Linked DNA regions of Oryzias latipes. The protein of the gene in region 1 interacts with the protein of each later gene in a pairwise test. Links are inferred from orthologs where the notes say so. Each region holds a gene or a part of one and is shown in the gene's direction. Other genes may lie near its edges.

Region 1 (4,146 bases):
GTATGGCCTTATGCGTGCAAACTGTTGGGCAATATCACACAAGCGCATTTGATCCGCATCAGAACTGAAGTTCTACGATGTTTCGCAGGTATGGAAACTCTGGTGAAGTTCTTAAACAAGGGGTTCCAATTCAAGGATTCAAGGGAGTTTTTATTGCCATCGTCAGTGAACAAAACAAACTAGGAATTTGCTGCGGTGCCAGTGTGCCACATACAACACTTACGAATAAAAAAGAACAACAGTAAGCAAAATAAATCACTTGCAATCCAATCACTTGCAAGTGAACTTTGGTGTGGTTCACTACAGTGTAACAGTCAACTAAAGAGCAGAAGTGAACTGAATAGTGAAATGCACATTTTCAGAAAAAACAAAGTCTTGCATTGCAAATAAGGAAAAATGCAAAAACTAGAGTATGTCCAATTAGTAAAGGTGGCGTCACAAAGTAAAGTTGCTTCTCAGTAAACAATCGGAGGACAGGCAGGATTAGCTTATTATCTTCTCTGTGCTTTTTTTTCCTTCCTGGTCAGAGCTTATCAAGACCTTCCCCACTTAAGCAGTTGTTGGAACTTAAGGACGTTTCCTGACAAGCAGACTATTATCCTAATTGAAAATACAGCTTTCAACTTCTTTTTTTTTTTTTTGGTAAACGTACTAGTTTTTTATTTTACTAAAGCCTCACCTTCCATTTCCACATCTGCCTCAAACCAGAATGGATTAAATGTTGCACTTTCTAAAAGACCACTAGAGGCTGGTTTCATATTGGCTACTAACTAAGACGTCTATCTTTACAGCAAAAGATAAACCTATTTATTTAAATTTAGATTTAGATAATTGATTTCAGAAATATTGAATTTTTTTTTTGTCTTTTCATGACAATTGCAGAGTTGAAACATTTTTTTAAACTAGTCATTTTGATTTAGAAAATAATTTGCCTCGATTTCTGCAACATGTCGTTTCTTTTTATTGGAATGTGGGTGGACCCATCGATGGAGTCCAACAAAAATTCCCACCCACTATATTTGTCATGTTGTTCGTTTGGGGCGGAGCAATGTTCCCATCCCAAGTGAGGCTTCATTTTTGTAATTCAGGATCCCATGTTTGACGTCAGCTTGTCTACCCAGTATTTCTATGTCAAACTTTCTGCTAGATGCCTCGACGCTCCAGTGGCTGAGCAACCGCCAACGTTTTTCTGGACTTCATTCGTTGCCACATCATGGAGAACATGGATGATGTTGAGCGAGTAGCTAGGCTTTACATGTTTGTAAGAGCTCTACAAGCCCGTCGCCGTGACTGGGTTCACCGGATCCTTCAGAGTCTCTCCTGGCGTGCTCTGGAGCTGCGCCTCGGTTACGGCCGTTTCAAATGTTACTTCCGTCTGTCCATTGGCCAGTTTGAGCCTCAACCCGAGAGAGGAACAATAAAAATAAAACTGGAGGTCCGACTGCCGGACAGGCATGAATTTCCTAAAGTCTTTTGAGGAAACATTTTTCTTAAATTAACCATTTGTGGTCATAAGCACAGTTTTTTTTGCTCAAATCTTCTTTAGCGCGAGCTACACCTAGTGGGCAAACTGAAACGCCCTCCAGGAGAGGTGGAACATAAAGATCTGCACATTTTTGTTGCAGCTTCTCCGTTTGAGAAACCATGTAACACTGTGTACAATTTCATTGGTTTATTATTTCACCAATAGATTTAACTGTATGTGAACCGTATCAGATTAAAATGAATATGTTCAAAACATATATTGATTATTTTTGGATTTCTATAAAAATATCTCTAAATGTGTAAACTGTGTAAATTAAATACTAAATTCAGTCAAATCGAAAGAGTGGATTGAAAGAATCAAAAAAACGTGGATCTAGTGAATCAAATCGAATCGATTCTAGAAATTATTGGTGATACCCAACCCTAGTTGGCGTCTGCATTGCCACAAAAGGCTACTAAATTGACTTAATTTGGTTGGAGCCGGAAGTAAGCCATGTTCTATGGGTGACACTCACTCACTCAGTCCAGTTCTCATATACAGTCAATGATCTTTAGCTAACCTAAACTATGTTAAGTCCAACAGGAAGTCTCTGACTTGAGATGTCATTTCTTTTTCTTTGTCCAAATGTAAGTGGCATTGAACTGACGTGATCTAAAGCTTTTGAAGCAGCTGTCACACAGTGATATGATGACGAGCTGAAGGCCAGACATATTAGCATATTTCAGTCTTTGATCTTCAGGGAAGACGATGACAAACGCGTCCTGCCGACGGAAACCTCTTCTCATCAAAATACCAAAACAACGACCGCTTTAAATAAAACCAAATAAGAGGAATCAACTTCAGATATTTAGAGCTCCCCACCACTGTGCACCTCCCCCTATCACTGCCACCTCCCCCTCGTCTCTGTCCACTCACCCCATCCACTTACCTCTCTCCTCACTTCACTCCTCCTCTTCTTCTTCTTTCCACAGATGAGCTCACAGTGCCTGCTCTATATCCCGGCAGCCCAGATGTGTGGGCATCATACCCGCTGTACCCGGCGGAGCTGTCGCCGGCCCTCCCACCCGCTTTCACCTACCCCTCCTCGCTCCACGCTCAGGTAACCTCCAAATCCCCCCACCCCCCACCCCCCATGTCCACTATTGCACAAGTTAAGCCTATAAATCACTTCCATGCACCTCAGTGCGCATCCATCACCCAGCCACTTTACCTTCTATGAATGTCACCGAAACACCAGAGATCTGTTTTCTGTTGTTCTGAAGGCGTAAAGAAGCTGTTAGGGTGGGGGTTTAGTTTGTTTCTCCTTAAGGTTAAAAGGATTTATTTTTACAACTTTCCCTACAGTTATAACGATAATTAATTCAGTGATATCGTACTAAAGAATGCAGCTCTTGCAAAAAAAAGGATTTCCAATGCTGGAAGGGTTTTCGTGCTGGTAAAGTTTAAATTTAGCAGCTGCAGCTTTAAGGCTTCGAACTGTGATTTAACGATCTCCTGTATGAAATGAAGCCGTTAATCCTGCATTAGGAGTTTAGGAGTTTTACCTAATTAAAGTTATATTAGGAATTATTTAGTTTGGAAATGTCTAATCGCAGGTTTTTCCTTACAGGAGTCGAATTTGTCTTTAATATTTCCCTCTCTCAAAAGCAGCTACAGTTAAATCCCAGCATTTTCCACATTTTAATGAGGAAAAGACTGTTTCTTTAGTGTAGCAATTGTTTAAAACTTTCTCTTTTTTTTTTTTACACAAAGGAACAAAATAAAGCAAATGTTCTTTAAATAGCTAAATCTCTGTTTTCAGATTCATAAATTTAATAAAACAAATCTGAAAATTACCCGCTTCTCATTCTAAAGTATCCAGAGTAATGCTGACGAAAAATTTTACATTACATGTAAAATTTCAAGAAATCCAGTTTCTCCTGTGATTTTTGTTATAATTTTGCGATCATCTCTGCTTAAAAAAAAACAAAAAAAACACATTTTCCAGAGTATAAGTCACAGGAGTTAAAGAATGCATAATAAAGAGAGAACATAAACAATTCATGCGGGAGTATAAGTTGAACTTTTGGGAGGAAAGTGCAGTACTTCTGAACAAATTTTTAGCGTAATGCTGCGTTCACGCAGAACGCCATTCACACATCAAATTCGCATCCACTATCTTCTTTCAGCGCTAGTCAAATTCTGTCCAAAAATGTGTTTGTAAACTTGATGCTCCCTTTGTGTGTGGGAGAAGCTGCCATCTAGATTTTAGCCTCATCGCCACATGGGAGCCTGGACTGTATATTTTATTTACAACAGATTAGGTTTATTTATTTAGAAGAGCTCTTCAAAAGCAAAAGTCTTCCTGTCTGAATTCATTGTTTTGGATGAGGTTTACCATCTACTATAGGACCTGCATCTTCAGCGGTTCTTCTGTCTCTCTGTAACCCAGTTTGATGACTTGCTGTCCCACTGTTGTCAGAGTAAGGAAAAAATAAAAATAAGATTAACATTGTCTCCATGCAAATGAGAAAACTATCAAAAAGTTAAGCAGGACAATCAGATTCCATGTGTGTTTTTTACGGCGCTTCTTCTTCTGCATTGCTCACGCACACCTACATTCCCTCTAGTGGTAGTTAGTGAGAAAATAACCAATGAATGAGCTCATTTATGTTTAAAAA
Region 2 (4,902 bases), on another chromosome or scaffold:
AAGCAAACTAAACTAATATCCATCCTGTGGTAAATTAACATACACAAATGAATGAAAATAAAGAGCATCAAAATAGAAACTAAAGTAAAGCAACACAAGATAATTTATTGTCCCCTGGCCGATGGTTTAGTGCTGAATATCAGGCCTCTGCTGACTGGCATGCATTCTTGTGTCAGGCCTGGTTCCCTCAGCACTGGTAACTCAAAGCATAACATCAAATTAATGAAGCAAATTATAATAAAGTAAGCTGAAACGTGTTAATCAATTTTATGTTCAAATGTGTGTGTGAAAAAGAAATCTAAAAGTATATGCGAAAAGATATAGTGAACGGATATATGTAGGGTGCGGTGCAGGAGGTTACTGCTCTGATGGGGTGGCAGCGTAGGCAGCCATCACACACTTCCTGCAGCTCCCCTGGGAGAATCCCAAGGCGAGCAGAGAGACGTAGTCCCTCAAACGTGTCCTGGGTCTTTCCCAGGTCTCCGCCCAGTGGGAAATGCCCGGAACACCTCCCCAGGGAGGAGTCCAGGAGACATCTGGATGCTTTTGGTTTTAAGCAGCTTTGAATGGGCTTGGTTGATTTCAACTTGTTAAAAAAATTCTCTTCAAATTGTAAAGCAAAGTGGTTTCAGTGAACAAAAAACCTTTGAAGTACATTTGACTTGAATGATTGACATCAGAGAGGAAAACCATGATCCGTGTTTTACCATCAACATTTAAAGCTCAACACTGTCTAATGTGGTTTTGTAATATCCAAAACATACAATATATAGTGTGTCTCATTCAAAAAAATATGTGTGAGTGAGTGTAAATTAAGCAGTTTTATAATTTTTAGATTCATATTCTTGTTGTTTTTTTTTTGTTTTATAAATTTCACTCACAGATTTCTGCAAAAGCTCCACACCAACCATGAAAAGTTATTAATTTTTAGGCAAAGTTAATAATCTAAATATTTTCATTCATGCAACCAATTTGAGAACAGCTTTTACTTTGAAAGACCTGTCACAGAGGCCATCAGTTCTACAGATTACAGCATCTACTGACTTATTCTGCGTTTACCAGAACAACAGGTTGGTTTTTAGTCTTCCTGAAGGGGCTATTTTTCATTTTTGTTAAATCAAACTCAAGGATTCAGCAGCAACTTTTGACAATATCACCAACCTGAAGGAACACACCGTGTCCGTCATTGACTACATTAAGAAATGTGTGGATGATGTGACAGTGGTCAAGACCGTCAGGAAGAAATCAAATTGCAAACCATGACTAACAGGAGACGTTTGTTCCTTGTTGAGAGCTTGGAACATGGCTTTTAAATAAGGAGATGCAGCAGCGTACAGTCTGGCAAGGACGAACCTGTCACAGGGGATTAGAGGGGCAAAGAAGCTGTACACACAAAAACTGAACAGCCACTTCATGTGTGAGAAAGAGACAATATGCCGGAACAACCGCCCTTTACCCCTTGTGCTATCCCATGGGGTCCAGATGACCCCACCCTTACATTGACGTGTTCTCCCTACCATGACAAAGGTGGATAAAGGCAGAAAGATTTCATGTAATCCATGGACACCAGTCGAGATCACAAATTTAGCGCACTGTCTTGTGGGGTCTAGATGACCCCACTACCAATGTTAAAGTGCCAAGGATAGCACAAGGGTTACCAGAGGAACTGAACAACTTCTACGCATGGTTTGATGTTTACAGCACCATCCAGGCACAGATGCTGCTGCTGTGATCCAGCAACACAGCATTACAGCCATCAACCGCAAAGCGGCTGGCCCGGACAACATCCCTGGACAGGCTCTGAAAGACTGCATGGAGCAATTGAAAGATTTATTCAGCGAGATCTTTAACACATCACTCAGACAGGAATTTATACCCACCTGTCTTTAAACTGCTGTCATTACTCCAGTCCCAAAGATGTCTGATCCAAACGTATTTTGCCCCGTGGCCTTCACACCCATTGTGACCAAATGTCTTGTGCGCTTGGTTCTGAAGCACATCAAGAAGAGTCTTCCAATAAATATGGACCCTTTACAACTTGCATCTTCAGTAAATAGATTTACTGAAGATGCCATCTCCACTGCTCTCCACCTGATCCTGTCACATCTGGAGAGGAAAAACACCTATGCTAGAGTCCTCTTCATCGACTTCAGCTCGGCTTTTAACACCATCATTCCACAGCAACTGGTGGAGAAGCTGAAGGCAATCTGCAATTGGATGCTGAGTTTACTGACAGACGGGCTGCAGACAGTCAAGATCAACACACACATCAAGGCCCATGTCATCGAGCACAGGCACACCACAAGGGTGTGTCCTGAGCCCACTGCTGTTCAGTCTGCTCACGCATGACTGCACAGCTAGGTACAGCACCAACCACATTGTCAAATTTACGGACGGCACAACAGTAATTGGTCTCATAAACGACAATGATGAGTCTGCTTACAGAATGGAGGTGGGGCAGCTAGCAGTGTGGTGTGAATGACATAATCTCCAGATCAATGGTGATCGACTTCAGGGCATCTGGCAATTACCACAACACACATCCGACCATAAATGGTGTTGCTGTGGAGAAGTTCCTGGGGGTGCATCTCACTCCAACTCCACTCCTCCAACTCCAAAATGACCACCAGAAAAGCACAAAAGCCTCCATCCCCTCCAGAGACTCAAGAAGGCAGGAATTCCAACACCTCGCCTCATCACCTTCTACAACGGCACCAATGAAAACGTGTTGACACAGAGCCTTACATGCTGGTTTGGCAGCTGCAAGGTTCAGGACCAACAACCGGTCAGCGAGATTGTTGGAGCCCATACCACCATACGCAGAGTAAGCTTCCTCATTAGGGACCCTCCGCTTCTCTGTCATGGGGTGTTCTTCCTTATGCCATCTGGGAAAAGGTTCAAGAGTATCAGCAGCAGATCCAGCGGGATAGTAAAATCTTCTTTTCACAAGCAGTGAGACTGCTACATAGACTGTCCTCCTCCTGCATACATGCTCTCACAAACTCCACACCGCAATCAGACCCAATAAACTACCCCCACCCTCTGCACCACCCAAAGACACAATATATACTGCTGCTAAATGCAGATACTAACTTTAAGGATTGAATGCTGGTTTCTATTTTTTTGACATTTTATTTTAGTTGATTGCTATTTTATTCTATTTTATTGCTATATTTTCTTTTGCACTGTCATATTAGTGAGGAAAAACATCTGGTCTCACCTGTGTATTCCTCTGCAAATACTATGAGTGAAATAAATGACAATACATTAATCTGGAATTCAAGCATTCAAGGATTTTATTTGGTATTATTTAACCACAGGGTGAATTCAAATTTGTTGATCTGGTCCCAGCCAATTAAAGTGGAAATATGCCAAGTAGAAAACAACAAGAAATGTATATATAAATCCCTTACATCGGTAACATGAGTACAGATCCTATCGAATATTGGATAAATGTAGTATTGTGGCACTTTACTGGGACTTTCACAAAAAGATGCAAGAACAGAAATCAACAATTAAACCACAGCAGGAAAATGACATGTTAATAAAAAAACAATGCAACTTGGTAAGAAGAAAAACAATTGATAAGATGCCAAACAAGAGCTTTAAACTCAGGGTGAAATGAACTAGTGTTGACTTATCAAACACAAACTCACAGCTGGTTCCTGGATACTTCCTTCCTTCCTGGTCCAGGAAATACCAGGAACAAGGACTTTGAGCTAAGAAAAGTAGAGGAGAAGAAAGTCATCTGAGAAAAGAGCTCTGCGAGGTTCACACTCGGAAATCCCAAAATGCCAGGTGATCTAGAATAATCCAGCCTTGATTGGTAAATCTGGAGAATTACACAAACACATTTAAAAAATGTTGCTGCAACTAAAAGGCTCCATTCTTTGGTAATCCCCAGGTTCCGCACAGCGACTCCAAAGTAATCAGGATGTTTGAAATGATGAAGAACTCTGATTTCCTGGCTCCTCACAGCAGGAGTTGATATCAAAACAGAGCAGACGAACGGTCCAATTCTTCAGTGAAAAGGATTGGAGTTTTGGAAAAGTGAGGTAAAAACATTCCACGTTCCAGGATTGAATGCAGACTGGTGCTACAGAGAAAAGGGAAAAACTCAAGGACTTTCCAGTTTGGGTTTACTGGTTGCTCTCCGGAGCTTCTGTCAAAGCTGTCCTGTGATGCAGCAGCAGCTGGTAGTACAACGCCCCCCGGTGGTCTCACGTGGGAAATCTGCCTTTAATCTGCCAGGGGCCATTTTGAAGCAGAGATAACACGTCTGACTGGTGGGAGTCAAGTGTGAGACACAAACAAGGAGGAAGCCAAAACACAGATAGATACACTAAATGATGAAAAAGCCTCCTAACCTGAAATGTATCTTTCCTAAAAATTAGTTTTAAACATTTGAATTGTTCCTGTTTAAACAATTGACTCTTTAATTAAAGTATGCATATAAATGAGAGTTACAGACTATTTTTGCTTCAAAATAGAAAAGCATTAAAAAGGGGAGGAGCAGAAAGTGAATACAACACAATCATTTTTTTTTACTTGTATTAGATTTGAAGCAATTGACATAATTTCAACAAGATTATTAGAAAACCGTTTATTTGCTTTATGGAATATTATTCCAGTATTTCAGCAATAAAACTCCGTTTTATTGCTGAAATGTGTCTGTGATTCGACTGAAATTATGTTCTGTGATTTCTATTTAGGATTATAAATTCGAATTATAGACGGATGATGAAGGATCACTTCTATTTTGAGTCTAATCTGGGTCGTTTTGGGTCAAGTGCGGGTTTGCCCCGTGCAGGTTTCGACTGGTTGAGTCATCTTGGCGCCGTAAATAGGATTTTCAGCCCAAAATATGCGACAAAGGAAGCTGATGACAAACACCTGTCCAGG
Region 3 (4,146 bases), on another chromosome or scaffold:
GCTGCATTTTTTGACTCAAAAATATAATGAAAAAGTAATCCACCAAAATGCTTTTTCTTTTCCTTCCTCAACACAGCTTATTCTGTCACTTAAATAAAATTAAAATTAAAATGGTATTTGACATTTCATTTTCAAGACGTTCTCTGGTAAATGTGTAGCAAAATTCATTTAGAAATGTCTAATTTGACATTTAAAATGGATTAATAGAAATGCTTTTTAATTTTCAAAATGAAGCTGCATTAAATGACTCAAAATTCAAATGAAAAAGCAATATTTCAAAATGCTTTTTCATTTTATACTTAAAACCGCTTATTCTGTGTCATAATTAAAACGAAAATGCAAAGAGGGGATTGCATTTGCATTTTAACATCCACCCTGGGAAACTTGTAGCAATATTCATTTCTTAAATGCATTAGCAGAGGGGAGGCGGGGCGATGACGTCACTGCTTTCTCCGTGTGTACGGCCGCTGACACACACACGCACCAGGAGCAGACTGTGTTAGTGGCAGAGAAGACGGCTTTGAGTTGGTTGTGAACTTCTGATGAGTTTCCACAGCTTCTCAGGACTACATAGCAGCATCACTCAGCGCGAAGCTGCAGGAGACTATCTTCATAATGTGCTTTTATTACTGTCATGATTATTATTAAGGGCCTGCTCTGCTCGATCATATGTTTTTAAATCCGTGCGGTCAGACGACGCTGAAGAAGTTGGGTTGCGATTCACAGCTTCTGATTCGCGAGGGAGATAAAGGAACATTCTGCTGCATTTCTCGCATTAAGATCCAGGAATCCAGGTTTGAGCAGTCCAGGTCCAGCGGTTTGTGAACAGGACCCGGTTTTAGGTGATCTCAACGCGAACACAGACACACCAGGTCTCTCAGCGACAGCGGCCGTACACACGGAGAAAGCAGTGACGTCATCGCCCCGCCTCCCCTCTGCTAATGCTTTTAAGAAATGAATATTGCTACAAGTTTCCCAGGGTGGATGTTAAAATGCAAATGCAATCCCCTCTTTGCATTTTCGTTTTAATTATGACACAGAATAAGCGGTTTTAAGTATAAAATGAAAAAGCATTTTGAAATATTGCTTTTTCATTTGAATTTTGAGTCATTTAATGCAGCTTCATTTTGAAAATTAAAAAGCATTTCTATTAATCCATTTTAATTGTCAAATTAGACATTTCTAAATGAATTTTGCTACACATTTACCAGAGAACGTCTTGAAAATGAAATGTCAAATACCATTTTAATTTTAATTTTATTTAAGTGACAGAATAAGCTGTGTTGAGGAAGGAAATGAAAAAGCATTTTGGTGGATTACTTTTTCATTTTATTTTTGAGTCAAAAAATGCAGCTTCATTTTGAAAATGAAAAAGCATTTCTGGTTTTGACTTTGCTTTTTATTAATGCTACAGAATTGCTTCCATAGCTAGGGATCCAGTCAAATGTAACTTTGTTGCTGCAGCATAGAAAATGAATTTCCGCGTCTATTAGCTCTGGACAAGAAATAAGTCGGATGGTTGCTATGGTCCATTCCCTTTAGGACGGCGGCCATATTGAATCCATTAAAATCCTTCCAGTGGTAACTAAACTAAAGACTTATTCACCTGTAGAGCTGCACGCCAGGGCTTCAGCGTTTTCAGATGGGGGGTGGGGGTTGTGGAACGAGTGTGGAGGGACTCGGTCCGGCTCCTAGATCCCGTTTTTGAGGAGAACTGTAAAAGTGGGAAGTTTCGAATGAAAACCATACGTAGGAAGGTTTTCTGTACGGGTCATTTGTTCACTCAGGAAACTCCCACATGGCCATCGTCCAGAAGGTGAACAACGAGGGGGAGGGGGACCCGTTCTACGAGGTGCTGGGATTGGTCACGCTGGAGGACGTCATCGAGGAGATCATCAAGTCGGAGATCCTGGACGAGTCCGACGGCTACCGTGAGTGTTTGTGAGCGTGTTCTGTCCGTGTCCCGCCACGGTTGTTCACACCTGCGTGTCGTCCCACAGTGGACAGGAAGCTGAAGCGGCCCCTCCCGCCCCTGGAGATTTCTCTGGAGCCTCGCAGCTCCGGCGAGGAGTTTTCTCTCTTCAGGCCCCCAGAGGGAGAATCCAAAATCCACACCTCGCCACAGCTGCTGCTCGCCACGCACCGCTTCCTGTCCAGAGGTGTGTTGACCGCCATCCCCGACTCTGTGTGTACATTTAAGCTGCATGAAGATGCTGAGAGTGACCTCTGGCCCTACAGAGGTGGAGCACTTCAGCCCGGCCCGGGTGTCCGAGAAGGTTCTGTTCCACCTCCTGCGCCACCCCAGTGTCAACCAAGAGGTGCACTTCGAAGCCAACAACCGGCTGAGCCCCAGCCACTACCTGTACACCCGCAACCAGCCGGTGGACTACTTCATCCTGCTGCTGCAGGTACGTACCGCCTGCAGGGGGCGCCCTGCACTGGAAATAACCGGACATGGTGAAAAACCACAAAAAAAAGGTTTTTATGGCAAATGTTGAGACGATTTATCAGACTTTAGCTGAGTGTCTTAAATGTCATTTTCATGTCTTTTGTTCCGTTTTAGAGGCAACTTGCTTTAAAATAGAAAAACACAGAAAAGACACTAAAAACAATTGCAAATACAACAAAACAGATTTGTTTTCATTGAAAAAAACGTTTTTTTGATTTAGGAGCTAAAGAGAAAAAAAATGTTTGTAAGAATTAAATAAAAGGGTTTTCTGTCTTTTCTTTCAGGGTCGCGTTGAAGTGGAAATCGGCAAAGAGGGGCTAAAGTTTGAAAACGGGGCATTTACGTACTACGGCGTCTCTGCCCTGACGCTGCCATCCTCAGGTGAGGGCGGGAACTAAACATAAAATTCTTTCTTCTTTCATCTTCTTCAATCCTCCTATGATCTTTAAAATCATTTTTAAAATGTTGTAACTTGCTTCCTGAATCCGGATGCTGACATGTTACAGCAGGAAATGGAGCAGAAGTCCAACAGCTGGGCTCTGAAGGCGGCCGACATCCTTAAGCAGCAACCCCCCTTTAATATTTTCAAAATAAAAGCATAGGTAGTCGTAGTAGCATTTAGCCCGCCCCCGATCACAGCTGGAAGTTTTCTTTGTAGCTTCTCCTTGTACATGAGGACTAACGGAGACCGTTTGATTGCAGTGCACCAGTCTCCGGTATCGACCCAGCGGAGCTCTCCCAGAGACCCCTTTGATTCTGGGGAGGCCACCAGCCCGTCCAGCTACTGTCCTGACTACACCGTCCGCGCGCTGACCGACCTGCAGCTCATCCGGGTCAGTGAACGACCTTTCACCTTTCCGTCTTCAGGTCTGCTTTAATGGGAGTCAACCAACCAGAAGTGAAAGGCGTTTCTTCGGACCACAGATGTTTGATGCTCCTGTTCACGGTTTCACTGAAAAGGCTGTTTCACAGAAGAAAACCCAATTCATTCTGGAGATCGCAAACAACTCCGCCCCCAAATGATGACATCACAGCAGGAGAAACCGTCAAAAAATGAACGGGGCCAAAATTTCTTATGGGGTTCAAAAAGAATTTCAAAATTCACGAATATAATCAAAAGAGGCGTGTTTGGGATATCCAAAGAAATTTTTTTAGAATTATTATGGGATGGCCTAAGGATTTAAGGCTCGGCAGAGTTTTTTTTTTTCTCCAGCAAAGTGCAAAATTTGGCGATTTTCACATTTTTATACAATGTCAAGAAAAACTTTTGTTTTGGCGATTTTCTCAGAATTTCAGACATTCAACCAGGTGACGTCTGCAACCAGTCTACGTTGACCTAAGTTAACTTGCGTCTAGAAGCCGCCATCGTGAATTTTCCAAAAAGTGACCATTAGTACCTGCTACAAATTTGAACGTCAACGACCGATTTTGAGCTCTTGCCTTGTGAGCCCTGGAGCGTCGTTGGGAAGCTAAACTGCTGGATTTAAGGTTTGTAGATTTTTAAGCCTGCTAGCCTGGCGAGCTCACAGAAGTGGCTAACCACCACTGCTAGCACATTTCTTTTTAGCAAATGTAACACATGAATCCTTGAACGGACTGTTATGACATATGAAATGAATTTATTTGGAATGTGGGCGTGGTTAAAAAAATAAAAACTTTAGCCGATCTTTCTAAGAAACACATAGGCCAAATTTTGA
Region 4 (3,576 bases), on another chromosome or scaffold:
AGTGTCAGCTACAAGAGATGCTCAGCACTGTCTTTTGGAAACTTTGCTTCACTGAGCCATTCACCACAAAGCTGCTATTATTCAGTCCCACTCGCGCCAGGTGCTGAAGTTTTATAAAAAGCTGGTCCTGATGGTGAGCAGACAGGCCTGGCTCATGGTTGTGGAACTTCTTAGCTGTAAATCTATTTGCTTTCAATTTCAAGTTTTTCTCACAGGATTATAAATTGAGACATTTTGTTCTTGCACTCTGTTCCGTGCAATCTGATGTTGATAAATTATGGTCTTAACTTAAAGAAATGCTGTACAATCTATGCCTTAGATGTATGATTTAAAAAAAAAAAAACTTAAAACAACACGTTCTGTATTCACAGCAGCCATTAAAGCAGCTTGTATTTTTCCTTGGTTCTCATAAAAATGGTAATGATCTTCGGATTGAAAACACCTGACTTTGCCAAGAATATGTCAAGATCTGTCAGCATACATACAGTTTTAGAAACAGGCGTTTCAACTGTGTCTGTCGGTGTTAGCCTGAGTGGAAGTGGGCGTCGGAAAACTGCCTCCCAACACCTCTTTAACAAGGTGGGTAGCTTGGTGAATCAGCCCACTCACTCACTCATTCATTCACTCCTGACACATGCAGCTTGGGCTTCAGAGGCGCGTGGAGCGAGCAGATGTTGTTTTTAGGGAAGTTTCCAGGCATTAAATAGCTGGATCAGATAATACATAGATGCTTGTTTACAAGCAAGAGGCCCCTCTTAACAGCAGAGAGGTAGAAAAGCCTACAGGTGATGGGTGGTTATCCAGATGTCGGAGTGCTCGCAGCACACATGTGGCTGGATGGTGGCAGACAGACTCTGTCTCATCAAAGTCTCCATAACACTTGTCGTTTGTGCCGCGTGTTTCAGATGTCACCTGCAACCCAGCAGATGCAGCCCACACAGACATTGCAGAGTCCTCCCCCCAGTGGTGGGCGGCGCAGGCGAGTCGTGGACGAAGATCCAGATGAGCGACGGCGGAAGTTCTTGGAGCGAAACAGAGCGGCTGCGACGAGATGCAGGCAAAAGAGAAAAGTTTGGGTGATGTCGTTGGAGAAGAAAGCGGAGGAGCTCACTCAGACCAACATGCAGCTTCAGGTACAAACACCAACCTGAGGTTCAGCTTTAGATCAGAACAGCATTTTAAGACTTTGTTGATGATTTTTTTTAAAAAAAGGTCCTTTTCTTTATTTCAGAATGAAGTGACAATGCTGAAGAGTGAGGTGACCCAACTCAAGCAGCTTCTGCTCACACATAAGGACTGCCCCATCACAACTATGCAGAAAGAGTCCCAAGGTTACCTCAGTGAGTAGCTCAAACAAAAACACTCCTTAGTCTTATGAATTCTGATGGACAAATTGGGATGGCCAAGGGCTCGTCTCTGTGATGCTGGCGTCCAGCTCCCACACTTTATGCAGGACTATTTTCTTTTACTCATGGCTGTGTCAAACCCTGGTAACAAGCCTGGACAGGGAGTTGGTCGTCTGAATCTCACAACAGGCTAATATTTCCATCAGACAGCACCTCTGTGGACGGAGGTGACAGAGTCTTCATGTGAGGAAGGCATCACAGTTGGGTTTTACTTCCCAGATGTGGCCAAACTCCTTAGAATCTTTTGGACATTTGTCAAGTTCACATGACTTCACAGTCTCGTTTTTCGATATTAATGCGAGTGACATTTCCATGTAATCCATTTCCATAATTAGGATAGGGGCACCGCCCAGTGTAGCTTATGCACAGGAAAATAAGGCTCACATGAAGCTGAACGGCTCTATTCTGCAGGAGAAAGACAACTCCCATACCGGCTTAGGATGACCATAACAGATGAGTTTTGCTCATTGGAGAAAGCGATTAATTTTAACGTAGACAAAAAAACGTACTATGAGCATATTTTTTAGACATAAACTTTTACATTAGTGTACTGGCCTTGTCATTCAGTTTTTTTTAGAATCGGCTTTTGACTTTTACAACTTTCAACTCCAAAGTTCTATTTGCTGGTAACTAATGTATAATAAATTTGACAGAAAATAAACTTTTACAATCCTCTTTTCAAGTATTTATGTTATATATACAAATATGCACATCAGGAACTGATGAAAAACCACAAATTAAGGGTGGGCTTGAGGGCAAGAACTTTAAAACTTTAATAAATAAACTTGAACAGACCATTAAACAAGAACAAAATTAGAAAGAGTGCAAACAACAGATGACCTGACAACAAGACAGCTAAACACACAGAGGATGATTAGCGTAAATGAAGACAGCTGTGGATAATCAACAACTTGAACCTGATGTGTCTGTGACAGCAAACACACAAAACCTGAAAACAGATTATGTCAAATACCAAGAAAACATAAGTGAAACTAAACAAAGCAAACAAAAGGTTTGTGTGCCATCCGCCATAAAACTTCACAAGAAAAAGAAACAAAAGGCCACAAAAAAAGCCCTAAAAGTGATCCATAGATATTGCATTTCAATAGGGAGAGGTCTTAGGAATGTGAAGAAAGATTTATTTGTGATACAAAAATATGCATGAAATAGCCCATAGTCTTTGGGCGGTTAGACTCTCTGGGCAGACGACGTCTTTCTTCATTGGACTACAGATGGATAAACCCCAGAGCTTTGGATACTGATGGTGGTTGAGACCACTGTGGGGTGGAGGAGGGCCGGAAAAACTGTCTAGAATGTAGAAAGATAAACGTGCATGAATTTAAAAGCAGAAATATGATTGTGATTGGCTGAGACAAGAAGGCTAGGAATTTAGCTATTGAGCGAAAGCCTAATTAATGGAAAGCGTGTAGAGTGAGTGACGCAAGCTTACCTGGAGGTGAGGTAGATCTTTATTGAAACAGCAAAGCTTCACAATAAATGATAATCCTTCTACATCTTCTGAAAAAACAGTAAGGCTTTACCTCCAAAAGTTTTCCTTCTAGAGTTTTTTTATATGTTGGTGTTACTGCACACACTCATTCTGCTGAACCTAAATAAATCATGCAGGAGTTTGTTTTTTTCTTAGAAAAAATTATAGTTGATTTGAATTTGACCCTAAAGTGACGTGTTTTTTGCTATTTTGTTTTTTCCAATTCATTGTTTTATTTTCTTGAAAGTGGTTTGATTTTTATTGGATCATTTTATGATACATTTTCTAATTTAGTTGAACAATTTGAGCTGCTCAGGTTTAAAACAAAAAGTCAAAATACCTTGATTTTGTCCCAAAATGACTGTTTTTAGCAAAGTAAAGACATTTCAGGGTTTGAGGTGCACACTTGTGTCTGTGCCCTAATTAAAGGCTTTTCCTACATCTAAACCTGATCCGCGTTGTCTCTGCTGTGTCCTCAGGTCCAGAGAGCAGTCCAGCAGGCAGCCCAGCTCCAGCATGCAAACAGCAGCAGCAGGTCATCCAGCACAACACCATAACAACCTCTACAACGACTGTAGGGGGCAGCAGTGTGCACGGGCAGGCCAACCATCACACAGACATTAATCCTATCCACTAGGAACAAGTCTAAAACCTCAGCTACAGCCCCGAACCCCCACCCAC
Region 5 (4,946 bases), on another chromosome or scaffold:
ATTATTATTATTATTATTATTATTATTATTATTATTATTATTATTGACTCATTTTTGGGTTTTTCTAAATAATTTAAATTACATGTCAAAGAGGTCTAAAACTTCTAAATGTTTAGAAATTATTTTTAAAAACTCTTTGAAATTATTTTTTTCTTTGTAAGAACTCCTGCAACAATGCATTTTCATTAAAGTTTGAGCTTTTAAGGCTGCCTGTTTCTCTTCTTTAACAACAACAAATGATCTATCTATATATATATTATATATATAAATATATATAGTATATAAAAGCTACCTAGACACCACTAAAAGCAATAGAAATTATTGTCATGTGGGCGTCGTCGACCTCACCAAGATGGCGTCGCGCTCCGCCACCGTCGGCCAGGCTTCCCAAGCGGGCGTGTCTCCTCTAGTGATATAACTCATTGGTCAGACCCATGATTCCAGCATTGCACTAGCTCCATTACAGAAGGCAGCCATCTGCAGAGGATCAGACCTCTAGGGACCTGGAGGTCCTACTGCTCAGTGCAGCGGATAGAAAATAATAAACATTGCTCTGACACCAACCCTAAGACTGGAAAAGATCCAAGTATGTTCTGATAGGTCTTATCTATCCTAATCCTAGAACTGGTTCTGGTCTGCTATAGTCTCAGTCCAAGCCTGTTCTGATCTTGATCTGATAAAGTCCTGGGTCCAGTCTGCTTCAGTACTGATCTGCTTTGGTGTGCGTTTGTTATGATGTTGTTTCAAGTTGACCCTTTCCTGGCTTTGGTCTGCTTAAGTACTGATCTTTGTCCAGGTTTGTTGTACTTAAGACAATTTTCTGCTCTGATCCTGATCCTGGACTGAGATCATCCTGCAGGTCCAAGTTGCCTTCAATCACAGCCCCATTATTGCCCTTTTCTGCCCTTGGTTCTGGTCCATTCTGGTCCTGATTTGATCTAATCATTGTCATGTTTTTTTGTCAGCATTAGTCCTGGTTCTGGGTCTGGTCTCCTTCAGTCCTGGGTCTGGTCTCCTTCAGTCCTGGTCTAGGTCTGGTCTCCTTCGGTCCTGTTTCTGATCTCCTTTAGTCCTGGTCCTGGGTCTGGTCTCCTTCAGTCCTGGGCCTGGGTCTGGTCTCCTTCAGTCCTGGTCCTGGGTCTGGTCTCCTTCAGTCCTGGTCTTGGGTCTGGTCTCCTTCAGTCCTGGGTCTGGTCTCCTTCAGTCCTGGTCCTGGGTCTGGTCTCCTTCAGTCCTGGTCCTGGGTCTGGTATTCCTTCAGTCCTGGTCTTGGGTCTGGTCTCCTTCAGTCCTGGGTCTGGTCTCCTTCAGTCCTGGTCCTGGGTCTGGTCTCCTTCAGTCCTGGTCCTGGGTCTGGTCTCCTTCAGTCCTGGGTCTGGTCTCCTTCAGTCCTGGTCCTGGTATTCCTTCAGTCCTGGTCTTGGGTCTGGTCTCCTTCGGTCCTGGTCCTGGGTCTGGTATTCCTTCAGTCCTGGTCTTGGGTCTGGTCTCCTTCAGTCCTGGTCCTGGGTCTGGTATTCCTTCAGTCCTGGTTCTGGTGCACATTCATTAATTAGTTTGTTTTTGGAAAAGCAACGAGGTGTTTGCAAAGCAAACACACCCACACACACACACACGCGCGAGCTCACCCAAACACACACTCGGCTCTCCTCTCTGTCCCTCTCTCTCTCCTCCTCTGCCTCCTCGCGCTCACCTGTCCTGTCAGTCTTTCAGGTAACTCTCGCGGAGTCGCACGTGCTGATTTCACGTACTTTGAAACGTTTTTCATTGAGTTCTCATTAAGATCAGAAGAATCTGGACCAGAACCAGAACCAGTCATGTCCCGGGCAGAAGAGGGCGAGGAAACGGACTGCGTGTGTTCGATCGGGATGAAGTTCTCCTGGGACATAAACGACCCCAAACTGCCGCAGGTGCGTGGACCGGAACCGAACCCTGCGCCGTCCGGTTTGACATGTTTACTGGTGGTACTCGTGGTGAAATTGTGCTGGTATCGAACCTACGAGCTCAGAAGCGTAATCGAGACGAGAGAGATGAGCCGCAAACGGGCCGAACCGAGCTGGACTGTAAGAATAAAAACTGGGTTCTAGGAGAACCGTCCGAACCACCGATACCGGGCCTCCTGGATCAGCCGTAAATATAATAAGATGAAAACTGTGGCTTCTGGAAAATGTACTTTATTGCGTTAAAGACTGGAAAACCTCATTTGAAATATTCTTTTCGATTCGATCTGTTTTTATTTTTAACGTTGAAAAACGTGGTTTTTTTTTTTAGATTTTCAAAAAAGAAACGAAACTAAAAGTCCAAAATGAAATTCCGTTTAGAGACAAATTTAAACGTGAAAAATGAAACGCAAACAGCTCCAAAATAATCTTCCAATCATTAGAATTATTTATAAATATTCTCAGTCAAACACTAAAAGGCCAGAAATGATTGTAAAATGAAGAAGACGCGCGTGCGCCGCACTTTGATCTGGAGCTCAGAACTGCGTGATGACCACCGAACCGAACCACATTCATTGTAATACGAGGTTCGGTGTTCAAGCAGAGTCCAAATTTATCTTCATAATTTGAAGCTGAACAAACGCGGAACCAGAACCGGGCCTTTGGGCCTAAAGCGGCTTTATTTTGATTTTTCTTTTTGTTGTTTTCTGATTATTGTCAAAGAAAAAATAAACCGTAAAGAACTTAAAACATCGGCCTTTTTTATTATTATTTTTTATAACATTTAGGCCCCCAAAGGACGACTCGGGGCCCTGCGCGCGCGCGTCTTCTGCTGCCACCCTCGGCAGGGGCAAATGCAGCAGACTGACACGTTTGGGGCATAAATGCCGAGAAACGGCGCTCATGTGGAATGATGGTCAAGGCTTTAGTCAGATTCAGTGGCGGTAGGATTCCGGTCTGTGTGTCAGAAAGTGGATCGCGATGTGAGTCCACGCGTGGACACTCGTCACGTTCAGCGTGGAAGCAGATGCTGACGCGGCCTCGGCACCACGATGATCTTTCTAGAGAGGAGATGTCACGGGTCACGCGTGTTTCAGCGTCAAGGACGGAAAGAGTCACGGAGGAGCAAACCGGCCGGTCGGAGGCCGCGCTGCTCCCTGATTGGCTGCAGAAGCTCCGGTTGGGTTCTGATGCAGGTGAACAAGGTGGACCATGACCTGAAGACATGAGGATGCTTTCATAGATGAAAAACAAACTCTCTGAATAGAAAGAGCTCACAGCCTGACCCGTCGTGTCTGTTCTGTAGTTGAGGGGAGACAGCCTCACTTTTTAGGGGAATTTGCTGATTTGCTTTAAAGCTCCTCCAACACATGGAGGCATTTGGACGTTCAAATCCTGTTTTAAAATCAGCAGATATATTAGATATTAGCAATCAAAAACACGTGATACAAACTATTACAGAATAGGCCTACTTGTACTTGTTGCTATATTGTAATGAACCGCACAGGATGACCTTAAATCACCGACACCTGCAGAGGTAGAAAGGACAGATGTTCTGCTTGGTACTTTACTACTGACTTACATAAAAATGTTTATTATCGGTAAAGTTAAAGTACTGGAAGCACAATTGGAGAAGCAACCTTAACTTTAATACATCTAAATATTAATAAATAAATACATAAATATTGGCTACTTGGAAAAAAGTAGATAACCTGGATTTAATGTTAGATTTTGGGATAGACTGATTAAAAAACTAATAAAATCCAGATAATAAAGCAGGTCACAGGATTTTATTGTACAAAAAACACCAAATAGTTCAGTGGCCTTGCAGTGGAGTGTCCACCCTGAGACAGGAAGGCTGTGAGTTCAAATCCAGGCAGTCATGACAAATGCTCTTAATGGGAACAGCTACAAAATCCTGACCAAAAATGAGGATCATCAAGAAGATGTTAATAAAAGGTATCCGATCCAGAACGCTTCTTCTGACCAATAGAAAGACTCGCTAACAGCTGTTTATGTCTCTTTAGACGTCCATGGGATTTCAGCTGTTTGGACCGGTTACTATTTTACTTTCGATGCTTGATCCGTTGGATCGGAGGGTTAGACCGAGCGCGGCTGTGGCTGCAGCCCCCCCATGGGATGAATCCCATGCAGAGAACACGTCGCTCACCTGGGTGAAAACGAAATAACTGACAACGAATGGGACTTCTACTTTTAGCTTGAAATGCCCTCTATTTAGATCTTTAATATAGGCAATATAATTGTTTTCATGATATTATATTTGTGTGTGTATGTGAGGCCCACTGGGCCTTGAAGAAAGTCTCTCAGAATATTTAAAATATTTACATGTCCACTCTAATCATCTTCTTATCCGTCGTCAAAGCGTCCCAGAGATCTTTTAATGATGACGAGGCTGATTTTTGGCAAAATCCCCAAATCAGAAATGCAAAAATACAAATTCAAAATGACAAATGACAGAGTAGATTTAACAAACACTATTTTATTTTAACAAGGAAATATCCTCAAACACAAAGTTCAACCAAATACAAGCTGTACAAATGTTTGCAGCAGATGTTTTCAGAGCCGTCAGTAGTTTGAGCGTCTCGTTAAGACAAAAGCTTCCGGCGCTCGACAGAGTATCTGTTTCAGACGCTAAAACGAATCAGTACTCCCGCTTTGGACAGCTACAACATTCAAATGGGTTTGGCGGCGTGTGGTTTGATGCTCATAACCCCAGAGGTCAACATTTCCGTTTTTACCCACCAGCTGGGCAAAATTACCAGACAAATTATTACATTTTCTACAAAGAAAAACTATAGTTGTTGTTTAAAAAATGACATGTTTAATGGAAAGAGAGAAAGTCAGAACAAAGAAAACATCCGATAAAAACAACAGTTTAAGTGACTCAGATTTCTAATCAGTCTTTGCTCTTTGGCATTTTCACACATCGTTGACGTATTTTTTTTTATTATGCTCTATGACAAATGAGTTGTTTCTTCTCTTTAG
Region 6 (4,823 bases), on another chromosome or scaffold:
CAGATGTCCAGAAACGGTTTTAAGTATCACAACACTTCACAAGAGACATGCAAAGTCTGTACCAAGAAAATTTCCTTGCCTTACTGGAGAAGGTTAAGAAAGACCTGAAGAACTGGGAAGTTCTCAACCAGTCTCTTGCAGGGAAAGTAAATAGTATAATAATGAATATACTTCCCAGATTCCTTTACCTGTTTCAGTGCGTCCCCTCTACATCCCTAAATCTTTTTTTAAATCTGTCGACAAAAGCTTTTCTTCATTCATCTGGAGCGGTAAGACCCCAAGACTCTGTTTAAAATTATCACAAAGACCTAAGCATCAAGGTGGCTTAGGCCTACCAAACCTGTGCCAATACTACTGGGCCTCTAATGTTCAAAAAACGATAGATTGGCTCCAAGCTTATGACATCAACTGGTATCGATTTGAAGCCTCCTCCTATAATACAAAAACTCTGACAGCCCTAATTGGATCTAGTCTCCCCTGTGTCATTTCACACTATATTACACACAATCCAGTAGTTACCAATACCTTTAAAATTATGTTTCAATTCAGACAGACGTATGGACTCACTCAAGTGCTTACCACTAGTCCTATACACAAAAATCACCTTTTTCTCCCTGGTCAGACAGACTTCGTATTCATGATTTGGGAAGTGATTAAGGTACAGTATAATCAACTTTAAGGACATGTACCTAAGCGGTATATTTGCAAGCTTCAATGATCTTGCTTCCAAATTTTGTCTGCCTCACTCTCACTTTTTTTAGTACCTTCCAGTGTGTCGCTTCCTTCAGCAGCATGACCCTAACTTCCCTAACATACTGTGTTAGATGAGGTGTTTGAGTTGCCACTCAATTCAAAAAGATTCATTTCCAAAATCAAAGACTGCAAAATTCCTGCTTCCATCTTTGTTGTTTGATTGTCGACTGGTTAATTCAAAACTTCCAAACTTATGTAATACGTTCTTTGTTTGTTGGAGAACTGTTTCCAACATTCTACAAAACTCATTCTATGTCCCAGCATTACACAAAAAAGTTTTTTAAAAACCCAATTTTTCCAAAATACAAAGAAACCCATTTTAAACAATGAATGCAGTATACCCATGCAAGGAACTGCTACATTTACGTTTTGGTTTTCAAGAAAATAACTGTTAATAAATATAAAATCACTTGATCATCTGTTTTTTGAATGTACATATGTTACCAGTTTTTGGGAGTATTGTGTTTGTTGGTGCTCCTCAAAGTTTCCTTTTCCTATTTCTATTCCGTTACAGTTGTGAGTACTTTCTGGTGATAATTTATTTGATTTGGCATTTGATACTTTATTAAATTCTGGGAAATTCTTCATCAATGAGAGCAGATTTTTTTAAAATCAAATCATTATTCAATACATTTCATAAAGAGATCTGTTTACATTTTAAATCCTTGGAATTCAAGAAAAACAGAAATGCAATAAAACTGTCAATTTTCATTGAAGATCACATGTTGTATGACCATACCTAGTGTGAGCTACAATTCTAATGTTATTTATTTATTTTTTCTTTGTATTGTATTCTTTTTTCTTTTTATATCTTTCTATTGTAGTTATGTGAATGTGTACGTGTCATCCTTTGAAGTTCAATAAGAATAAAATAAAATAAAAAGTTGGTGAAATCAACGCTACAGGAATGGGCTTTTAGTTTGAAAGGACGGATGTGACGTACTGTATTTTCGGTGAGGTTCTTTCCGGTTAGCTTACAGACATGAAGGGTCAGTTAAAGAAAGGTGTGGAAGTAATACCAAGCCGGGAAAACTGCGTTTATACCAGCTGTTATTGGTAAAAACCAAGTTTTAACAAATCAGAAAAGCAGCCCACTGTCCTGCAGTCTTTAGTTTTGTGTCAATAAATCATTTATTGTCAAGAAAAACATCAAAATGCTAAGCGGATCCGCTCGGCTAATCGATATTCACAGTTTACATTGTTAAATGTTATACCCATTTTTAAAACTGTTATAGTGAATGAGTTATTTCAATGCCATCTGTCTAATTAATGATTGAATGAATTTTCAGGGAAATATAGTTCATTTTAATCAAGTGAATGAGTGGCTAATGCTGCTTTCCTTTACTTTCTCAGTGAGGAAAATGTTTGGAAGCTCTGTGAGTTTATTCAAGCACAGAAAATGGTTCCACTGGACCAGTTTGCTGTAATTTTCATCTCTAACGACACCAGAACGGTAAGAAGATCTGGAAACATTTTAAACGGCTTAACAAGACAATCGAATAAACAAAATGTTTGCTTTAAAAATAATATTTCAAAAAGTACCTCATACTGAGAATGATGGGCACCGAGCCCTCAAGGGTTCAGGTGGTCTCAAGAAATATTTGAAAGTAAATAACAGGCCTTCTCTGTAAAAAGAAAAATCCTTTTTGCAAAACATCTGGTAGTTTCAAAATACAGCTACAGTGATCCCTCGCTATAACACGGTTTACTTTTCACGGTTTCGCTACTTCACGGATTTGCATCGTGCATTGTGTTCTGCATTCTGATTGGCTAAAAAGTCACTTCACTTCTCTACCTGTGCGTCAATAACATTGCAGTTTAATATGTACACGTACGTAAATCAGCGTGCCAAATTTACAACAGATACGTGCAAATCATCTTGCAATTTCGAGTTTCTCTATAACCCATGAAAAAAAGGAGCGACAACAACAACTGCCTATCACTATGTTCTTCTCCCGAACAAACACAGCTGCACCGCGGGCTTCAAAGGGAGACTGCAGAGCGGAGTCAGGATGCAGCGGCTCAAGAGCAGTGAATTACACCTGAGTCACTATTTGTCTGACCGTACTTTGTATTTTTTTAAAAATCATTTTAAATATCTTCCCGTTTAATCCAAATACTCGGGTCGCGGTGGGCGGGGCTAATCTCCGCGATTTGAAGCCTTCTGTTCACATTGATGATTAAAATTCTTATTTGACAGTACAATACAGAAGATATTTGTTGAAAAACCTTTTCTAAAGTACTTTTATTTGTGAAACAATTCCTTAGCCTGTAAAACGGTTTGTTCTTTCTTTTCAATGTATAATAGAGAATTTAATTGTATAATAATTGTTAAAAAAAAAGGTTTCTACTTCACGGATTTTGCCTATCACGGGTTCTTTTTGGAACGTAACCCCCGCGAAAAACAAGGGTTTACTGTACTCCATTAATTGTGTCCAAATTGGAGGGCTGTGTTCTTCCTGGGCTGCATCTGAAGGCTGCTTACGTAACATGTTGTCCAAATTCAACAAGTCCTTTAAATATGGCCACCGAATACAGCCTTCTTTTTACCCGATTTCAAGGATTGCTCTGGTGTACCCTTCTATGCTGTCCATATCCCAAGATGCATAGCAGTAGAACCCGGATATTTTCTGACAACAATGGCTCCATGCCTGGTTCACTCCTCCTCCCTGTTCGGGACTCACGGTTGCTAGGCAACAGGACATTCACTGATGTAATGGCTGGAATTATCTAAAGGCTAGACTCGTCCAAATTCACAGCCATTAACATCTGACCTACCCGCTCAACAAAGGACCCGAGTAACATCGCCAGGGAAGACTGCGGCCATTGAAGGACGCAGACTTCGAATTTGGGAGCACCCAATATATAACGCTCAAATGTTGTGAAAGCGTCTCACTAAAACGGTCAATCAAACCAAACAAAGAAGTTCATCAAACAAATAGGCAATCCCTAAAACTGGCCACTACACACAGTACATTACAAAAACCAAAGAAATCCCGGACAAGCCCCCAATTTATGTTACACCCCATTTTAGGAAAAAGAAATACTATTTAATAAAAAAACAACCAAATTACTGTATATTTGCAGTATAAAGCACACTTAAAACCCTTAATTTTTTTATTTAAAAAGCAACAGTTTGTCTTAAAATCATGATCACCCTATCTATTAATTAGTTATGCTGCAAACAAGGTTGGGTGTTATTGTGAATACCCTCACGCGGCTAATGTGTGGCGATGTTGGACTGTTTTTTTGGTTACCAAAAAGGTTGTGTGATAGCGTAGTCACGGTAACGTTTGTTTTAGCGCTATCAGTCTGTTTTGTCCACGTGCTGCAAGCAAAGTAACGTGACTGACTGACGGACATTTCTCTGACTCTTTAATCTCACTTAATCTGCCTTGTAGTTCGGTGTGCTCTATATGTGACATATGCTCAAAATAGACCATTCATTGATGTTGTGCTTGATAATCCGGTGAGCCCTGTAGTGTGGAAAATACTGTACAAAGAACAAAGCCTGTATGTATGTTCTGCCCTGGAGATCCTTGCCCAGTCTGGTGCTCTGGACAATTAGGCACAAATGTGCAATCAAAGCTGGCAGAGGAGAAGGAAGACAGAAAACCTCCCACTCCAGCAGAAAATATAAAAGAAAATAGAGAGAGAAAACCCAAATGTACAAAAAAGCCATCACACTGTCATTTATCCATAAATTTTCTAAATCTGCTTAATCTGTTTTGAGGTCGAAGTGGTTGCTGGAGCCTATCCCAACTACTGTTGGGTGAAGGTGTGGGTACAGTTCCTCTGTGTGTCGCAGGGCAGGGCTCTTTTTTTTGGAAAGTAAATCTCTTTCTTCCTTTATCTGAAACTCAAGTTCATTATCTTTTCTCCGTTAGGTTCCTCTTTGGAGACAAAAGTCCGGACATGACGACCGGCCGGTGATCTGGGTGTGTCAGACCCCTCCATCTTTGAAAGTTGCTGTGGGAATCTCCAAATGACCATGAATGGTTTTGTCGTTCTGTGTTGCAGGACTACCACGTGATCCTGCTGAAGGTGGGTGTGAAGTCAGACAGTGTGAT
Region 7 (4,146 bases), on another chromosome or scaffold:
ACGGGCTGCATGTGAATCATTACAGCCGCCGGACCAGAACCTCATTAGGGAGAAGCGCCGGACCGAGACCTCAGCAGATCATTTCAAATGGAAGGTCGCTGGTCTTCTCCAAACGCACACTTTTAATACTCATTTAGTGGTAATGAGCTTTAATGGTAATCTGTGCCAAACTTAATACAGTTCAGTCTGCGGTCGGGCGCATCCCATAATAATGCTGCAGCGTTAAGCAGCTCCTCTGCATTCAGAGTCCCGCTGCAGATGTTTTCCACGCCTTTGTGTTCCGTGGTCGTAATTCACGATGGTTGATGTTAAACATTTGACTGTAACAACAATGGGACATCTCAACCCCCCCCTCATGTTCCCAAAAAGGACGTACCTTTGCCTCCTAATATGGGCGCCGCCATGTTAAAACCAGTCGACCATGATTGGTGACTGGGACCAATGGCTGTCGACTGGTGTCAACGTGGCGGCGCTCGTGTCAGGAAGCACCGGTGAGGGATTTTTCCTTATTTCGCTCTTTGTTTGAAAAATGCGTCGCCGTGGCAACATTTCTCTTTTTGATTTGTTCCTTATTTCTTCCTCCCTGCATCTCTGCATCCGCCCCCCACTCCACTCCGCCCCGCCCCGCCCCACGTCACTCCATCCCATCCCACCCCACCCCACCCCACCCCACTCCAGGCATGGCCTCCATTTTGATGTCAGCAGTGGGACTCGGCGTGCACTTCACCTCCGCCCCCCTCCCTCAGCAGCAGCCGCCACAGCAGCATCAGCTGCCGCCGCCTTTCTCTCTTCCTCCTCCACCTCCTCTCCTGCCCCCAGCCAGCAGGCCCAGCAAGCCCCCCAGCAGCAGCAGCAGCAGCAGTTCAGTTAGGAGAGCAAAGAGGCAGCACAGGAGAGGTAGCTACCACACCAGCAGCCCCCACTCCACCTGTCCTGCTCCATCACTGCACTCAGGCTTCTGTCCTTCAGACTCTCCTCCATCAGAACTTCTTTCTGCTTCTGCCTCAGTTTCTTCTCTGAATCTGACAGACTCCCCCCGTTAAAGGGGGGGGCAGCCGTGGAGACGTTCTTCACGCTGAAACCTGAAGAAGATGGTTTCTGAAGAATCACTGAACCACCATGACAGGGAGGGGGGGGGGGGGGGGGGGCATCATTTCCTCACCACTTTCACTCCGTCCCATCACTGCTTTGTTGTTGATCTGGCTTCACCTTGATTGGTCTGAACGTAATCATCAGGTTCCTTACGGTGAGCTCTTTGTGTAGCTGGAATCAAATGGAGAGGATTTTTTCTGTGGTAAAAGTATTTCCTGGAGGATTTCTAAACCTATTTTGTGGAAATCATCTCATTCCACCAGACTCTCCTGGTCTTTCTTGGGTCCGTGTTTTGGTTGGGGTCCTTCAGAACCTCCTCCTGTGTTTTCTCCCACAGCGTCGGCCCAGAAACCCGAGGAGGTGATCCAGCGTTACATGGAGGCGGTGTCGGCGGTTCCAGATGAGGTATGTCATGTTCCGTGTCGGTTTGCACTCATTGGTGGAGGCAGAGAAAAGGGGCGTGGCTATGTGACATCACCTGTCAAACATTCAGGACTGCATCATCTGCATGGACCAGCTGTCCAACCCGTCCGGCTACGAGGCGGGCCCGTCCGAGGAGAGCAGTCCGAGCATCGGGCCCAGCAGCGTGGGGAAGTTCGTGCGATGCGGCCACACCCTCCACATGCTCTGCATGCTGGCTATGTACAACAACGGGACAAAGGTACGCGGGCCGCCGCCATGTTCACCCGGGACGCTCCCCAGACGGAGGGTGAAGGTCTGTTCAGAGTTAGAAGAGCCGTGTGGGAGAAGTTCTGCTTTAATAGTGAAGACCCGCTCTGCCGGGTCATCGGGTCGGCGTTACAGAGCCGGTATCCCGATGGTTAAAGACCTCCACCGGGTCACAGGAGCGCAGTTAAATGTTTCACATCTCATCCTGTTCTTCAGCTGCTTAGACGTCCTTTTCTTTAAGGGAAATCTTTAGTTTTACTTGTTCAGTTCCAGTCTAAAGATGACTAAACCGATGAAACTGTTGGATTTAAAGCAGGTTCAGATGATGATGATGATGATGAAGCACTAGAACCTGTGTCTGTGGGCGGTCTTCTTTGAGGAGTTGCTTTCTCCGTCCTGAACTCCTGAGCAGAAACGCACTTTGTTTCTCTAAAAGTCGTCTGGAAACGTGGCTCAGCTTTGGTTTCAGGAGCTCAGATGTTCCTCGGTGGGAAAAGCTCCACGTCTGACTGTTGGTTGGTTGTTGAAAGGTCCATTTTACTGAGGCTCCGCCTTCTTCTGTCTGAGCTTCTGTAAGGGGCGGAGCTCACCGGGTTCCCTTCTCCCCCGCAGGACGGCAGCTTGCAGTGTCCTTCCTGCAAGACAATCTACGGGGAGAAGACGGGCACGCAGCCCAAAGGCAAGATGGAGATCTACAGCATCGCTCAGTCGCTGCCCGGACACCCGGACTGTGGAACCATCCAGATCATCTACAGCATCCCTCCTGGCGTCCAGGTACATCCCTTCCTTCAGCTACCATCAGGACTCAACCTTTCCCCTTTTGGTTCTTTTCTAGAGATTTTCTGAACATTTTTTTTAGTTTTTCTTTAGTGATTTTGCTCGTCTTCACCATAGAAACCCGTAGGAACCCAGAAATGCCTGGTGAGCTGCGTTTAGGTCCGGGTTCTTCAATCTCTGCTCTTCCTCTTTCTGAATAAAATACCTGAAATTTTGAATTTTCTACCTTGTTGGTTGTAATATTTACTCTCAAAGTAAAATATTTACCCAGAAAAACACGAGTCTGAGATCAAACTGATGTTCATTCAGGTTTACAGAAACCAGATTCCAAACAACTTTGGTTTTTTTGTTTGTTTGCTCTTCATCTGACAAAGACAGAAACACTTTAGTGTAGAAAAAAATGTTTAAAAATAAATGAACTCACAAGTTTCAACCTGTTTTTGGTCAATTATGCTTTAAAATGGTCAAATTTAGGTTTAAAACACCAAAAAAAGAGTTTCTTTTGACTGAACTTGCAGTTTTATCGTTGTCTCTTCTTCTTCATCCTGCAGGGTCCAGAGCACCCTAACCCGGGACAGCTGTTCACCTGCAGGGGCTTCCCTCGTTTCTGCTTCCTCCCAGACAACGACAAAGGCAGGAAGGTAGGGGGAGGAGCCTTGGCCATCATCCCGCTGTAATTCACTGATGGAAAGTGGGATTAAATAAGCCGGCCTCACTCTTTCCTGAATGTGTGCTGCCCCATGTGGGGGCGAGGCGGTAGAAATATCACACAGGCCTTGAACTCGCCTCACGTGAACAGCAGGAGGCGCCACAGAGGAGACCAGGAGGCGTTCAAACATTTTATTCTCAGTCTTGAGGTCTTTCTGCTGTATCGTAGGTTGAAACGGGCTTTTTTTGTTTTGTCGTCGAGGTCCTGGAGCTGCTGAAGGTGGCGTGGATGCGGCGCCTCATCTTCACCGTGGGAACGTCCAGCACCACCGGCGAGCCCGACACGGTGGTGTGGAACGGCATCCACCACAAAACCGAGATGATGTCCAACCTGTCGGGCCACGGTTACCCCGACCCCAACTACCTGGACAACGTTCTGTCGGAGCTGGCCTCGCAAGGCGTGACGGAGGACTGCCTGAAGCCCGCCGGAGGCAGCAGCTAGGCCGCCCCCCCCCCCCCCCCTCCCAACACGCCTGCCAGACCGGCGGGGGGGGGGTTCTGTTACAAACGGACTTCTGTGCCGCTCTGCCGATCCCATGAAGCACTTTAGAGCGTTCCTTTGACTCCAGACCCAAACGCATGCAGTCGGGTTTTTTTTCCCAGAAAACGGCCGAGCAGTTCAGGCTAAACGCTGTAAATAAAGACACGAATGCAAACGAACTCTGACTGAAGCTCTCATTCCATCCTGTAAGCCGGTTCTGAGAGAGGTGGGTCATCCTGGAGATTCCTGCAGCATCAGCTGCTGAAGCTGCATCCCGATGGATCTTCATCACATCACAGCGTCAGCTAAGAAGTTTCACGCCATTTGTCCATTTTTGACTGTTTTCTTACATCCTGAAGAAGTGGAAAAAAAACTGAAGTGATTAAAAAAATAGTGAATTTAGAAATGAAACGGATCTT

Evidence for each region.
Region 2: the proteins of RNA-binding protein with multiple splicing (region 1) and PHD finger protein 1 interact in binary tests that used the Homo sapiens proteins (3 or more experiments, as listed by UniProt). The two-hybrid records come from large-scale screens. The link is inferred for Oryzias latipes from reciprocal best matches to the Homo sapiens genes RBPMS and PHF1.
Region 3: the proteins of RNA-binding protein with multiple splicing (region 1) and cnnm3 interact in binary tests that used the Homo sapiens proteins (3 or more experiments, as listed by UniProt). The two-hybrid records come from large-scale screens. The link is inferred for Oryzias latipes from reciprocal best matches to the Homo sapiens genes RBPMS and CNNM3.
Region 4: the proteins of RNA-binding protein with multiple splicing (region 1) and creb5 interact in binary tests that used the Homo sapiens proteins (3 or more experiments, as listed by UniProt). The two-hybrid records come from large-scale screens. The link is inferred for Oryzias latipes from reciprocal best matches to the Homo sapiens genes RBPMS and CREB5.
Region 5: the proteins of RNA-binding protein with multiple splicing (region 1) and gcm2 interact in binary tests that used the Homo sapiens proteins (3 or more experiments, as listed by UniProt). The link is inferred for Oryzias latipes from reciprocal best matches to the Homo sapiens genes RBPMS and GCM2.
Region 6: the proteins of RNA-binding protein with multiple splicing (region 1) and wdyhv1 interact in binary tests that used the Homo sapiens proteins (3 or more experiments, as listed by UniProt). The two-hybrid records come from large-scale screens. The link is inferred for Oryzias latipes from reciprocal best matches to the Homo sapiens genes RBPMS and NTAQ1.
Region 7: the proteins of RNA-binding protein with multiple splicing (region 1) and probable E3 ubiquitin-protein ligase DTX2 interact in binary tests that used the Homo sapiens proteins (3 or more experiments, as listed by UniProt). The two-hybrid records come from large-scale screens. The link is inferred for Oryzias latipes from reciprocal best matches to the Homo sapiens genes RBPMS and DTX2.

The regions. Positions count from the first base shown.
Region 1 is NC_019876.2:8,095,347-8,099,492, forward strand, and holds part of RNA-binding protein with multiple splicing, read left to right. Parts: exon of another isoform or gene 1-2,251; intron 2,252-2,457; coding exon 2,458-2,585; intron 2,586-4,146.
Region 2 is NC_019874.2:28,769,637-28,774,538, forward strand, and holds the start of PHD finger protein 1, read left to right. Parts: upstream 1-1,632; 5' UTR 1,633-3,798; intron 3,799-3,904; 5' UTR 3,905-4,055; intron 4,056-4,902. UniProt on the Homo sapiens protein: Polycomb group (PcG) that specifically binds histone H3 trimethylated at 'Lys-36' (H3K36me3) and recruits the PRC2 complex. Involved in DNA damage response and is recruited at double-strand breaks (DSBs).
Region 3 is NC_019870.2:1,789,726-1,793,871, forward strand, and holds part of cnnm3 (metal transporter CNNM3), read left to right. Parts: intron 1-1,787; coding exon 1,788-1,931; intron 1,932-2,000; coding exon 2,001-2,159; intron 2,160-2,238; coding exon 2,239-2,408; intron 2,409-2,733; coding exon 2,734-2,830; intron 2,831-3,151; coding exon 3,152-3,282; intron 3,283-4,146. UniProt on the Homo sapiens protein: Probable metal transporter.
Region 4 is NC_019874.2:16,141,844-16,145,419, reverse strand, and holds part of creb5 (cyclic AMP-responsive element-binding protein 5), read left to right. Parts: intron 1-905; coding exon 906-1,133; intron 1,134-1,231; coding exon 1,232-1,340; intron 1,341-3,374; coding exon 3,375-3,532; 3' UTR 3,533-3,576. UniProt on the Homo sapiens protein: Binds to the cAMP response element and activates transcription.
Region 5 is NC_019878.2:1,862,801-1,867,746, reverse strand, and holds the start of gcm2 (chorion-specific transcription factor GCMb), read left to right. Parts: upstream 1-1,626; 5' UTR 1,627-1,713; exon of another isoform or gene 1,714-1,783; 5' UTR 1,784-1,817; coding exon 1,818-1,910; intron 1,911-4,946. UniProt on the Homo sapiens protein: Transcription factor that binds specific sequences on gene promoters and activate their transcription. Through the regulation of gene transcription, may play a role in parathyroid gland development.
Region 6 is NC_019869.2:4,811,779-4,816,601, reverse strand, and holds the start of wdyhv1 (protein N-terminal glutamine amidohydrolase), read left to right. Parts: upstream 1-1,688; 5' UTR 1,689-1,735; coding exon 1,736-1,809; intron 1,810-2,106; coding exon 2,107-2,206; intron 2,207-4,640; coding exon 4,641-4,691; intron 4,692-4,773; coding exon 4,774-4,823. UniProt on the Homo sapiens protein: Mediates the side-chain deamidation of N-terminal glutamine residues to glutamate, an important step in N-end rule pathway of protein degradation.
Region 7 is NC_019872.2:28,231,458-28,235,603, forward strand, and holds the end of probable E3 ubiquitin-protein ligase DTX2, read left to right. Parts: intron 1-678; coding exon 679-897; intron 898-1,429; coding exon 1,430-1,497; intron 1,498-1,585; coding exon 1,586-1,753; intron 1,754-2,373; coding exon 2,374-2,535; intron 2,536-3,089; coding exon 3,090-3,179; intron 3,180-3,448; coding exon 3,449-3,688; 3' UTR 3,689-3,906; downstream 3,907-4,146. UniProt on the Homo sapiens protein: Regulator of Notch signaling, a signaling pathway involved in cell-cell communications that regulates a broad spectrum of cell-fate determinations.